Drosophila melanogaster: one gene and its partner. The protein of the gene in region 1 interacts with the protein of each later gene in a pairwise test. Each region holds a gene or a part of one and is shown on either strand. Other genes may lie near its edges. The genes, in order: CG13775 and CG10431.

Evidence for each region.
Region 2: the proteins of CG13775 (region 1) and CG10431 interact in a two-hybrid assay, tested with the Drosophila melanogaster proteins (one large-scale study listed by BioGRID).

What each region holds. Positions count from the first base shown.
Region 1 is NT_033779.5:6,953,857-6,958,994, forward strand, and holds CG13775 (uncharacterized protein), read right to left. Parts: upstream 3,095-5,138; 5' UTR 3,017-3,094; coding exon 2,762-3,016; intron 2,488-2,761; exon of another isoform or gene 2,452-2,487; intron 2,364-2,451; coding exon 1,401-2,363; intron 1,347-1,400; coding exon 729-1,346; 3' UTR 599-728; coding exon of another isoform or gene 537-598; 3' UTR 501-536; downstream 1-500. Other genes in the region: SA1 (stromalin 1), read left to right, coding at 1-471, 537-598; CG3430 (uncharacterized protein), read left to right, coding at 3,242-4,431, 4,490-4,733, 4,800-5,138.
Region 2 is NT_033779.5:18,972,490-18,978,687, reverse strand, and holds CG10431 (uncharacterized protein), read right to left. Parts: upstream 3,979-6,198; 5' UTR 3,912-3,978; coding exon 3,841-3,911; intron 3,784-3,840; coding exon 1,566-3,783; 3' UTR 1,492-1,565; intron 1,426-1,491; 3' UTR 501-1,425; downstream 1-500. Other genes in the region: Swip-1 (Swiprosin-1), read left to right, coding at 1-333; L2HGDH (L-2-hydroxyglutarate dehydrogenase), read left to right, coding at 4,650-4,771, 5,229-6,086, 6,141-6,198.

The DNA of each region.
Region 1 (5,138 bases):
TCGCTATGACGCTCCTTTTGAGCCTGATCACAGTCTTTAAGAGTCTGCAGGAGCAGAGTGAGGATGGCATAGTTTCAAAGAGTTCGCAAGAGTTTGTGGACCTCAAGGAGTTGGCCAAGCGATTTGCGCTCACATTTGGTTTCGATGCCATCAAGAATCGCGAATCTGTGGCCGCCATTCATCGTGGTGGCATTTATTTCGCTGCGAACAAGGAGCCAGATGATCCGGTGCGGGCTCCAACTCGCTTGCTCTTCCTGGAGGTTTTGAACGAGTTCAACTACAAGCTACTGAAGCAAGACAAGAAGGTCATAATGAGCTTTCTGGACAAGATAATACCACCCGCAATGCCATCCAGCCGAGCTGAGGAATGGCAGCCGCTGATATTATATCGCAATTCCTTGCTACATGGCGAAACTGATCAAGCGCCCGTCGCCAGCAAACGAGCCTACACACGTAAACGTCGAGATCATGGTAAGAATTTCATAGCTTTCATTTTATTTAGAATCAACATTATGAAAAACATGTTTTTAATTTAGATGAAGAAGAGGAGGAGGAGGAAGACGAAGAGGAACACAATGATCCTGATTACAGGGGCTAGGACCCATCAGGCAATCAGCCATACACGCGGCTTAAGTGCAAAATCTAATTTTCCGGAAAATCAAGTAGTTGTAAGATTAAAGCTAATATTATGTACATAAATACGTTTAAATTATATAAATTACTGTATCCTAATTGATTTCCGAATTGCTAAAGCTAAAGTTGGCCTTCATGAGCAACATTTTGGATGCACTTTCGGGGCTCAAGCCCGCCTGCATGTCGAAATACAAGTGCGTTGATTTTCTAAATAAGCCTTCACTAACCACACTTGCTGCTGGTGCTGATAAGAATTTCCTAACAATGCCATACAAGGATATGTATTTTATGTTGCTCCTCCACCAAATCAGGGGATCCATGTTCCTATCGATTCTGGGTTCGGAGTTGTATAGATATAGCAGATTCTTAATCTGAGACTGGGAGCCCATTGACGTATTTGGCTGTTGAGTGTTCGTCGTTCCAGTTGTCAGTATGCTATCCAGAATGCTATCGATCTTTGATTCATTCTTCTGGGACGATGTGGATGACACTTTGATTATTTTCAGCGGTGGCTGACCATTGCAATCCTCTGGCACTCCAGCGAGCTGAAGCAGAACTTCATTGGCCACCAACTGCTCCTCACGTTCGGTGAAAAATGCTTGCTTATATCTCGGATCCAAATATGTGGCCATCAAAAAGTTGATGTCGCTAGTGATGTGGGCGAACTTCATTTCCAGTTCTTCAAGCAACTTTCTGGCGAAACTGCATATAGTCTAGACATTCGAAATATTAGACAATACTTTATGGTTTTATCTACTGCAACTTACCACAGATGAGACAAAGTTATGGACATCTGTTCGGAGGGAATCCCGTAAAGCGGCAACCAGCGGGATTACGGATGAGGTGGTCGTAGATGGATTGCTCCATATCTTGATTGTTTCTTCACAAGGCTGCATTACTTTGCTGCACAAATCGATCTCTATCCATTCATCTGGATATATTTGGACCAGACTATACTCTTCGCAGTACAAGGATAGAGCATCTTTCATTCGAAACACGCTGCTCATCATCTGAAAAGCGGAATTCCATTGACAGGGATCGTAAGGTGTAAGTGTGCACGGGTCTCGCGTCAAGCGGATCTCTTGAATGAATTTCAGATGATCGTTGGCCATCTTAGACGACGCAAAATGGTCAACTATTTGCTTGCACTTGGATGAAAGGTTCTGCAGTAATTCGTTCGATTGCAAAGCAAATCGAACGCACATCTGCAGGCGGTGCACACTGCAATCGGGCAGGGAACCTGGCAGCGCCGTCATCTCGTCCCTGATTACGCAGTGTATCTTCTCTTTGGGCACCTCAATGGCCAAGCTGGGCACAAGATCTCGAATGCAACAAGCTAGCTTCGAAGTGCTTTCGTAATTCAGAGCCTCGCATTTCAGCATTAGGCGGTGAGTCTGAAAATCCCTTGATATTCCGGAGCAGGACAAGCTCAGCAGTCCTTCGCCTTTGTCACCACGCCAGAGACTCGTAGACAACGATATGGCATCCAGCAGATCCACCTGTTGCTTCAAATGCTGATGCATTTTCCTTTGTATATCCTCGCACAGTATCTTCTCATAGTAGCTCCTTGGTTGAATCGTGTACCGCGGCTGCAGCGTCCTAATGAAATTTACGAATCCTGGTCCTTCAATGAACTCAAAGGAGTGATTTAGTAGCATGAGGGCCAACTTCTCATCACAGCGTTTGCTGTAGGATATATCCTCGGTGTCCAATGGATCTGAATCTGTTTCCTAAAATGATTAATAGAATAATTTAATGCATCAGATTAGTGAAAAACGCATAATTTATAAAAATATAATACTAAGACCATAACAGTACATTTTTAAAACCTCCTTAACTACACTTTATAAACACAACACATGTTTGCCGATCTAGCCAAACGCGGATAAAAATCCGCATCCGCTGTTGCTATATTAGTAAAAAGTTTTAAATAAGAGAAGGCATAAATTACTTTATGAACTACCAAAGAAACTATATTTGAATGGAAACTTAAGTTTGGGGAAACCATCTCCACATGACAGAATATCTAGAAGGGCATGTACCCCGATTTCACATAAGGTACACTTCTTGCACAGTACATATGCATGTACATAGGTATGTATGCACATCTATATGCTATCCCACTTACGTGCAGATTCAATTCTAGCTGGGCTGTGGGGTGCTGTGGCGAACCGATGGAGATCTCGCTCTTAACCAGGTCCAGGTACTTTATGTCCCCGGATAGAGATAGGAACTCCGGTGGGTGCTTGCTCTTCAGATGATTCCGCAGACATGTTGTGCCGCGTCCTCGCCTCGAGTAGTTCCTGTTGCACAGCAGACAGGTGGCCACTGTGCCGGATGTCTTGTAGAAGTACTGCCACACATTGCTTTTCTTCTTGCTCATCGCTGCAATTCTTTGGTAATTCTCAAATTGTACATTTTTTGCGGATGTCCACATCCGCCTCTACATCCGTTCTGCGGCAGAGTTCGACATCCCTGGCAGATATCGATAGGCCCATCGATGACCATCACTAATATGCTGCAATCAGTTTTTGGCGCGCCAAAGCAGCTGTTGTTTTTTGCATTCGAGGTTTTTGAGGCATTTGCAAATTCATTCGTTAACTAGATAATGCCCTGTGCGATGGAGCTGCCCAGCACGCCCGATGAACTGGCCGCCCAGCAAGCGGACAGCGCTGCACTCAAGGACTTGCTCAAGGATCCCAGTCGTTGGCACTCGATTCCCCTGCTCAACTACACGCCTCTTCACAAGCTGAAGGATCAGACTCTGGTGCGCTTTCGTGGAATGATCCAGGACATGATGGACCCAGAAATCTATCTGGAGCGCTACGAAGTGAAATCCGCCGACGGCAGCAAACGTGTACAGGAAGGAAAGTACAGGGACTGCTTGAAAATAGCCAATGGCGAAGTGATTGACTACAACGCCGATGGAAACGTGCATGGAGAGAGGCGTACCATGTTCGTGGTCTCTGTGCCTGGTCTGAACGATTGGAGCAAGGAGCATGAGAAGCTGTGCTGTCCCCAGATCGATTTGGCCAGTCTGGGTCAATCTCCCAGTTCAGCCAAGAAGCGGACTATTGTAGGCGAAGAAGAAGCCATGGATGTGGACGTTGCGAGCGAAACAACGTTCAAGCGACCCTGCCTAAAAGAGATTCAAAAAGATAGCGAGCCAGTCGGCGCCTCCAAATCCTCTGTTCTTGGGTCTGATTACCTGATTAACTCGCCTCTGCCGGATCGTCCCAGCATGGCATGCATGGTAAAGGTTTACGAGGAGTTCGATACCTACCAGCTTAACTCGCTGGTCGACTTTGTGGGCTTTCTGTCAGTGGATGCTTCACTAGACGCCGCTACCCTGGAAATAGACGATTGTGAAAACTTGAGTGAACTGCAGGCAGCTCATCCATCGCCATTTCTTATACCCCGCCTGCATGCCTTCGGAGTCCAGGTGCTGCCGCATGCCAATCCGCTGCTGGACAAAAGCCTTCGACAGCCAACGGAAATATGTGAGGAGACGTATCCAACCCACCTTGCTGTGCACAAAGATCTGCGCATGCTTCTTAAACTCTGCCTCTTTGATGACGATCTGGCTGCCGAGTATTTGCTCTCCCACCTAATATCTACGGTCTACAGTCGTTCTGAGATGCAGAGCATCGGCAAGTTCGCCCTTAACCTTTGTAATCTCCCTAAGAATTGTGAGGCGTATGCAACCAAGTTGTATCAAATTCTGGAGCTGCTACTGCCGGCCAGCCATTACATGCCCATGACTCTCGTCACACTAAACACGGCAGCCTTTGCCCCAAAGTAAGTTGGCTAAGCAGAAATAGTATAAAATTGAATACCTATTAATGAGTACTTGCAGGAAGGATTATGAGACAAACAAGCTGGTTTCCGGCGTACTACAGTTGGCTCCCCATACGCATTTGGTGCTCGACGAGACGTGCATGCAACAGGGCAAGCTGGAGGCCAATGGTGTTCATGCCGTTCAGCATTTAGCGCACTTGATCAATAATCAGGAACTGAAGTGCGACTTTCAGTATTACCAAATAGACTACCAAGCAAATATTCCAGTTCTCGTGCTCAGTGAAGGGCGAAGTATGTTGCCGGTAAGAATATAAGTTTATATAAATAATCATTATATCCAATAGAAACTATTAATGATATGTTTTCAGAGCGATTTTGTGCTGCCCATTAATGCCGATTCTAAGGCCGTGGAACTTGTTGATGAATCTCTAAAGGCAGCCCACCACTATCTGCAGCCATCACGTCTGCAGCAGTTTCGCAAGTACTTGACCACAGCGCGCACTAGCGGCTTCAACGTGAGCGAGGAGCACACTGAAATGATCCAGCAGGATTTCGTGGACATGCGTAAAGCTAATGTCAAAAGTAATGCCGATGATCTGCATGGATTGCTGGTCCTCTCACGGCTGCTGGGCATCGCCCGGGGGAAGGATACGTTGGACAAAGAAACATGGCAGCTGGCTACGGAGTTCGAAGCAAAGCGTCGCCAG
Region 2 (6,198 bases), about 12 Mb from region 1:
CTGGGACTCAAGCAGATGATTGCCGAGGTGGACGAGGATAACGATGGCAAGATTTCATTCCGAGAGTTCTTGCTGATCTTCAGGAAGGCCCAGGCCGGGGAACTGGACTCCGATTCTGGGCTGAATCAGCTGGCCCGCCTCACGGAGGTCGATGTGGAGCAGGTGGGAGTGAGCGGAGCCAAGAACTTCTTCGAGGCGAAAATTGAGCAACAGCTGCGGACGAACAAGTTCCACGACGAGATTCGGGCGGAGCAGGAGGAGCGCCGGCGAGAGGAGGAGGAGCGGGCCCAGCGGCGTCAGCAGTTCCAGCAGCGGGCAGCGATCTTCCAGTAGAGGACTTAGGTTCGCCCTTAGTCTAGCGAGTAATTATCTGGCGTAGGTTAATCGAATGTGGAACTAATCCCGGGAGAAGAGGATACGCTTCGTACAAGCATTTTTCAAGCATCACATACTCTAATTATATTCATACTTATCGCCCCATACATATAAAAACTCGATTTGCTGGCAAAAACATCTTGGGAATTGAATGTTATCTTTGACTAATGTTTGTTTTGGATCTTTGAAGTACCCATCACAACTTATCAAGTAACAAAATATAACGTTCAATTTCTAATATATATTTTTTTAAAACCAACCAAACTGAGCCACTCTAGCCAGGGACATATGCATACATACGTACATTAATAACGATCATACCAAAAGCGTATTTATAGTTAACCTTTAGTTAAGTTTAAAATGTTTTAGATTAAGAACTACTTTATTGTTTGGTGTTGCGCAAAATTTCATTGTTGAATTACGTTTATCCTTGAGGGTTCTCCAAAATGTATGCTTTTTACTTTATGATTTTGTACTTTTAGTGCCATTTTTATGTTCTTCGTTTTAGTTTTGTTAAAAATAAAATTGATAGTTATATTAAGCAAATAAACTTGTGAAATTCAACCTTCTTTGTATATACTAATCCTATGTTGGCAGTCAATCTTAGTTTTTTGCTTGGATCAGCCTAAAGTAAAACAATAAGTTTCGATTCAGTATTTCACGTTTAAAGTTAGCGATTTAAGCAATACTAATGCGTTAAATACGAATACACAAGAAAATACACGTACTTTTAGAGAACGTTTACTACAAACTTATACTGCAATTTAAATAAATAAATGTATATAATACAAAATATTTAAGATCGCCTTTAGTTTTCCCCCTTTCAACCTTTTCAAAAATGTTGTTCCGATTTGCGAAACCTCGTTCCTGCTCAATGAAGCGTCGGTTTAATTAGGTTAAATTACTTATTGTAAGTAACCTTGACTAGCGCCAATTTCATTCCCGCTGCGAACCCTTCATCACCTTGCGTGCCGTACTGGAAGACCACCAACTAAGTACCCCATAGAGTGACTAGGCTTAATGCATTTAGTGCATCGAGATTCAGATCATCTGTGGAAAGAAAATTGTAGTGGCGTGTTATCGCACATTGTTTTTTAGAAAACAAATTGGTTTTACCTCCAAGATTATAGCATTTGCTTGAGTAAATACCATTTCCTTGTCCAATCGTGAGTCATCTCCAGGGCTTCCTGTTACTCCCCGGCAGCTGGACCTTTTCGCAGGGAATGCCTGCACCTCAGCATATCGCATTTCAGGGCGTAGCGATGCTGGCAAACCGGACACTCATGCGGCTTGAGCTGCAGGTGGTAGCCCTTAATGTGTTGAGACAATCCGTTGCGTCGCTTGAAGACCCGCTCACAGATGCCGCACTTGTGTTGCCGCTCCGTCGAGTGGGTGATGTTATGCTGGCGTAGTCCGTTGAGCGAACCGAATGATTTTTTACAAATATTACACTCAAATACTTGGGTGGGCGTAACTTTCTTTTTCGAATTCATTGCCGTCTGCACCTTAGTTTTGGATTTTTTGGGCCTGCAATTGAGTTCATGACGACGATACAGGCGCCAGTGGGCAAAGGCGATGGCCTGGCAGTGGCGACACTTGAAGCTCTGAAGGCGCCGATGGTTTTTGAGCGACAACGATTGACATATGTATCGCATATGCTGGCGAAGACCCAAGCGGGATCGAAAAAACTTTAGGCAACCAGAACAGCGTCCTGAAAAATTGGGTATTAACTTTACAAAGTGTGCTTTCTGACGACGGTGGTGGTGTAAGTTCTTAAACTTTGAAAATCCCTTCCTGCACATCCGGCACACATAGGTTTTTCTGTGCACCTTCCTTGGTGACTTCAGTTTTTTGCATTTCAGCTGCAACTTACGATACCTGTTAGCCAGTTTAGCGTAGCTAGCAGTCACTGCAACCAGTTGAGGATCAGGTGCGGGTGCTGACAGTTGAGTGGCTGTCGGTATAAGGTCTTTGTGATGCAGGAAACTACTCTGCATATCTAGTATATCAATCTTTTTCCTAGGTTGCTTGGATACAGGACTATTATGCCACTCCAACGGCCAGTATTCGGATTGTTCAGTGGCCACAAGACCTCTGTTGCTTTCCATTTTCATTGGAGGGTTCATGGTTAAGCTGGGAAGGCATATATTCATCGGAGGAACACTAACCATGGGAGTGGAATTACTGTGACTGTGTGCATAATGCTGATTTAAGCTATCTATTGTTATAAATTTGGCAGTGCACAAAGTGCAGTTGTGAAGCCGAAAAGCCGCTGAGGATTCGACCACACTATCGTTAAGTACCACGATGTTGGGTTTGATCGACGTGGGAGGAGCAGGCTGTGGCAGCAGCTCGCAGATCATTGGGTTAGGTATCTGGCTTACATTGGTCACAATGGGCTTGCATGAGCGCGGTTCGGGGGCCGAGGGAGGGTCTATATTATCCTGAAGAGGAGGGGGATCAGCAGGCGGAGGAGCTGCGTCTGGCGCAGCATCCGTTCCCTCCACCTTTTCCGTTTTGTACTGATGCGGGGGTAGTTGCCACTCCTCCTTCGCATAATTGTGCTCTTCGGTTAGGAGTTCGTTTTGCAGCATTTCATTAGCCGTTCTTCCAGGCTGTAGTCTCTCCGACTGTCCCACATCCGCATCGTCTGGAATATTGATAAACGGATCGTCCAGATTGATTATCTCCATGATATCACAATTGTTGATAATGTCTTGGGCATTTAGCATAGGGAACTCGCAGAACTGAAACTTTTGTTCAGTTTCTTCCTGATCGCAGCCATCGTCCTGCTCCAAACCCATGTCCAGTTCATCAGGAAAAAGATTGTCCAAGCTCTCGCAGGCCTCCTGTTTCACACGAACCAAGGGTTCCTGTTTGATTTTCAGTTGTCGGCGGTATTTTCTTTGCAATTCACTCTGCGCCAACATCACCACATCGATGAACTGGGAAAAGCGCTCCAATTGGAGGCAGCACTCCTGGCATATTTCCTTGGGCAAGGTGTCGTCCTGAAGAATCTGTAGCGTAGGAAAGCACTTCTGGATCATGCCAAAGAGCTCAAAACTCTTGTCAAACGAGGAGCAATTGATGGCCGAGGAACCACAAAAGCGGCAAGTGGCTTTAACACCTGTTGCTGCTGATTCGGCGGCACTAGAAAGAGTTTGCTTGTGCGTTGGCCTATTGCTTGGGGACACCTGTTCCAAGTGCCCACTCATGGAGTCATCTTCCGAAACCCTAATTGATGGCACAGCATTTTTCTTAAGCGTTTTCCGATTATTGCTGCAATTAAAGTCCTCATCACCAAAGTGCCGACTGCACAGCGCACTCCATTTTGAGGGCATCCACTGAGCACTCCTCTGGGTAAATTCCTTCCATTTCTGTAGAAGATCCTTCCGTTTGAATGGAAATCTTTGGGAGAATAGAAGCTATAGTGTAATCTTGTCAATTGAAAATCAACTCACTTACCTGTGAAATGAAATGCTGCCCGCGTGCACATACTTATGGCTGCAATTTATCACGGCGCAGTGGGCGGGCATCTTAAGGTATTTATGGTACAATAATTTGTAATAATTTGCAAATTTCTGTTGTTTACATCTGTGAGCTAGCTGTTGTTTGCTAAATCAGCTGGTTTTGTTTTGCTTCTGAAGTGTTCAGTGTTGGAAAATGCGTCTCACATATTGTTGATAGCGGTCTTTTTTCTTGCAGTTCTGAATTAATAACGAAACTTTATTCATTTGTGTTTGCTATCAAATACGACCAAATATAATGGGATTCCGTATCGAATAAAAGCAAATTTAGGGTTAAAATTATATGTTTGTTTCTTGTAAATACTTTTTAGTCGAGTAATCAGCATGATCGTATAACCTGAAATATTTAAAATGAAATAAAAATTTTAATATTGTTAGATTACAGAAAATTTGCAAAATGGCAGCTGGGCACATTAAATCTTATCAACAAACCGAACAGCTGACACACACGTCCTTACCCAACCACCCCCTTTCAAAAATAATCCGTCACACTTATCAATTAGCGCGTTTATGATCGCCCCTCGGCCCCACAAATCGCCCAGATGCTCGGCCCGTGAGCATATTTATTTTCTCTCGCCCCACGGAAAACTTCCACGGGCTTCAGTCTGTCGATTCGCTCGAAAGCGCGCTGTACGCACAAGTTGGCGGAGGAGAAGGCAAGGTCAAGCAAGGTCTTTCTTTTCGGGTTGGTAAATAATCTAAATTCTACGTGCGTGCGCGGGTGGTGAAAGCATAAAAGAAAGAGAAATGGCTCAGGTGCGACTGCTGGTACAGGGACTTCGGCGTAGCCTACTCAATGTGGGCGTGGCCGCGCCCAACGAATCCACAGCGACCCACAAAAGATCGCAGCACAGCTCGTCGAGCTGCGGGTAAGTCTCTTGAGATTACGATAGGGTTCTCTCATTTTCGGGGGTGTTCCGATCCTAAGAATCTTTTCACTGTTTGCAGAATATCATTTAGGTGTTCCAAATGAGCTAAGTAAGCTTCTTTTCATTTAGAATGCGCTTTTAAAATCATGTTTAGTTAAGCAATGTATATTCTATTTACTTTTGTATTCTTAATTGCATAGCATAGTCTTTTCACTGCAATCTGCAGCCTTTATCTTACTTATTAGTTCCCAAGATCTCGACGTTCTTGCGGTCTGACAGTCGATGAACATATTGATATGGCTAGATCGACTTGACTGATGATCCTAATCAAAAACGTGCCCGCACACTCTTTACTCTAACGGATATACAAACATCTTTCTAACTTTTAAAAACTTTAGAAGTCTTAAGTTTATTTAATTTTTGAGGCTGTTAGCTGATATGTTTTGTATTCCCTCAGAGATTATGATCTGGTTGTCGTTGGTGGTGGCATCGTCGGCGCCGCATCTGCCCGGGAGATTGTCCTGCGCCATCCATCCCTCAAAGTGGCTGTCCTGGAGAAGGAGTGCAAGCTGGCAAAGCACCAGAGCGGCCACAACTCCGGCGTCATCCATGCTGGCATCTACTATAAGCCTGGAACCCTGAAAGCCCGCCTTTGCGTGGAGGGCATGCATTTGGCCTACGCTTATCTGGATGAAAAAAAGATCCCGTACAAGAAAACCGGGAAGCTAATTGTGGCCACGGATGAGAAAGAAGTGAAGCTGCTGAAGGATTTGGAGAAGCGTGGCATTGCCAACAACGTACCGGATCTGCGAATGATCGAAGGCAGCGAGATTCAGGAGATCGAACCCTACTGCCAGGGAGTGATGGCGCTCCACAGTCCGCACACTGGTATCGTTGACTGGGGATTGGTTACCGAGCATTATGGTCAGGATTTCAAACAGTGCGGTGGTGATATCTACCTGGACTTCAATGTCAGCAAGTTTACCGAGACCAAGGAGGGCACCGACTACCCAGTGACCATCCATGGCGCTAAGCCCGGTCAAACGGTTCGTACCAAGAACGTATTAACCTGTGGCGGTTTGCAATCCGACCTGCTGGCTGAGAAGACTGGATGCCCCAGAGACCCCCGCATCGTGCCTTTCCGTGGAGAGTATCTGCTGCTGACCAAGGAAAAACAGCATATGGTCAAGGGTAATATTTATCCGGTGCCGGATCCACGTTTCCCCTTCCTGGGAGTTCACTTTACGCCGCGAATGGACGGATCTATCTGGCTGGGACCAAATGCCGTTCTGGCTCTGAAACGCGAAGGTTACACGTAAGTCTTCTTAGAGCTCATATTTAAACTTGTCTGACACTTCACTTCTTCCAGCTGGGGTGACATTAATCTTTTCGAGCTTTTCGACGCCCTGCGCTATCCGGGCTTCGTA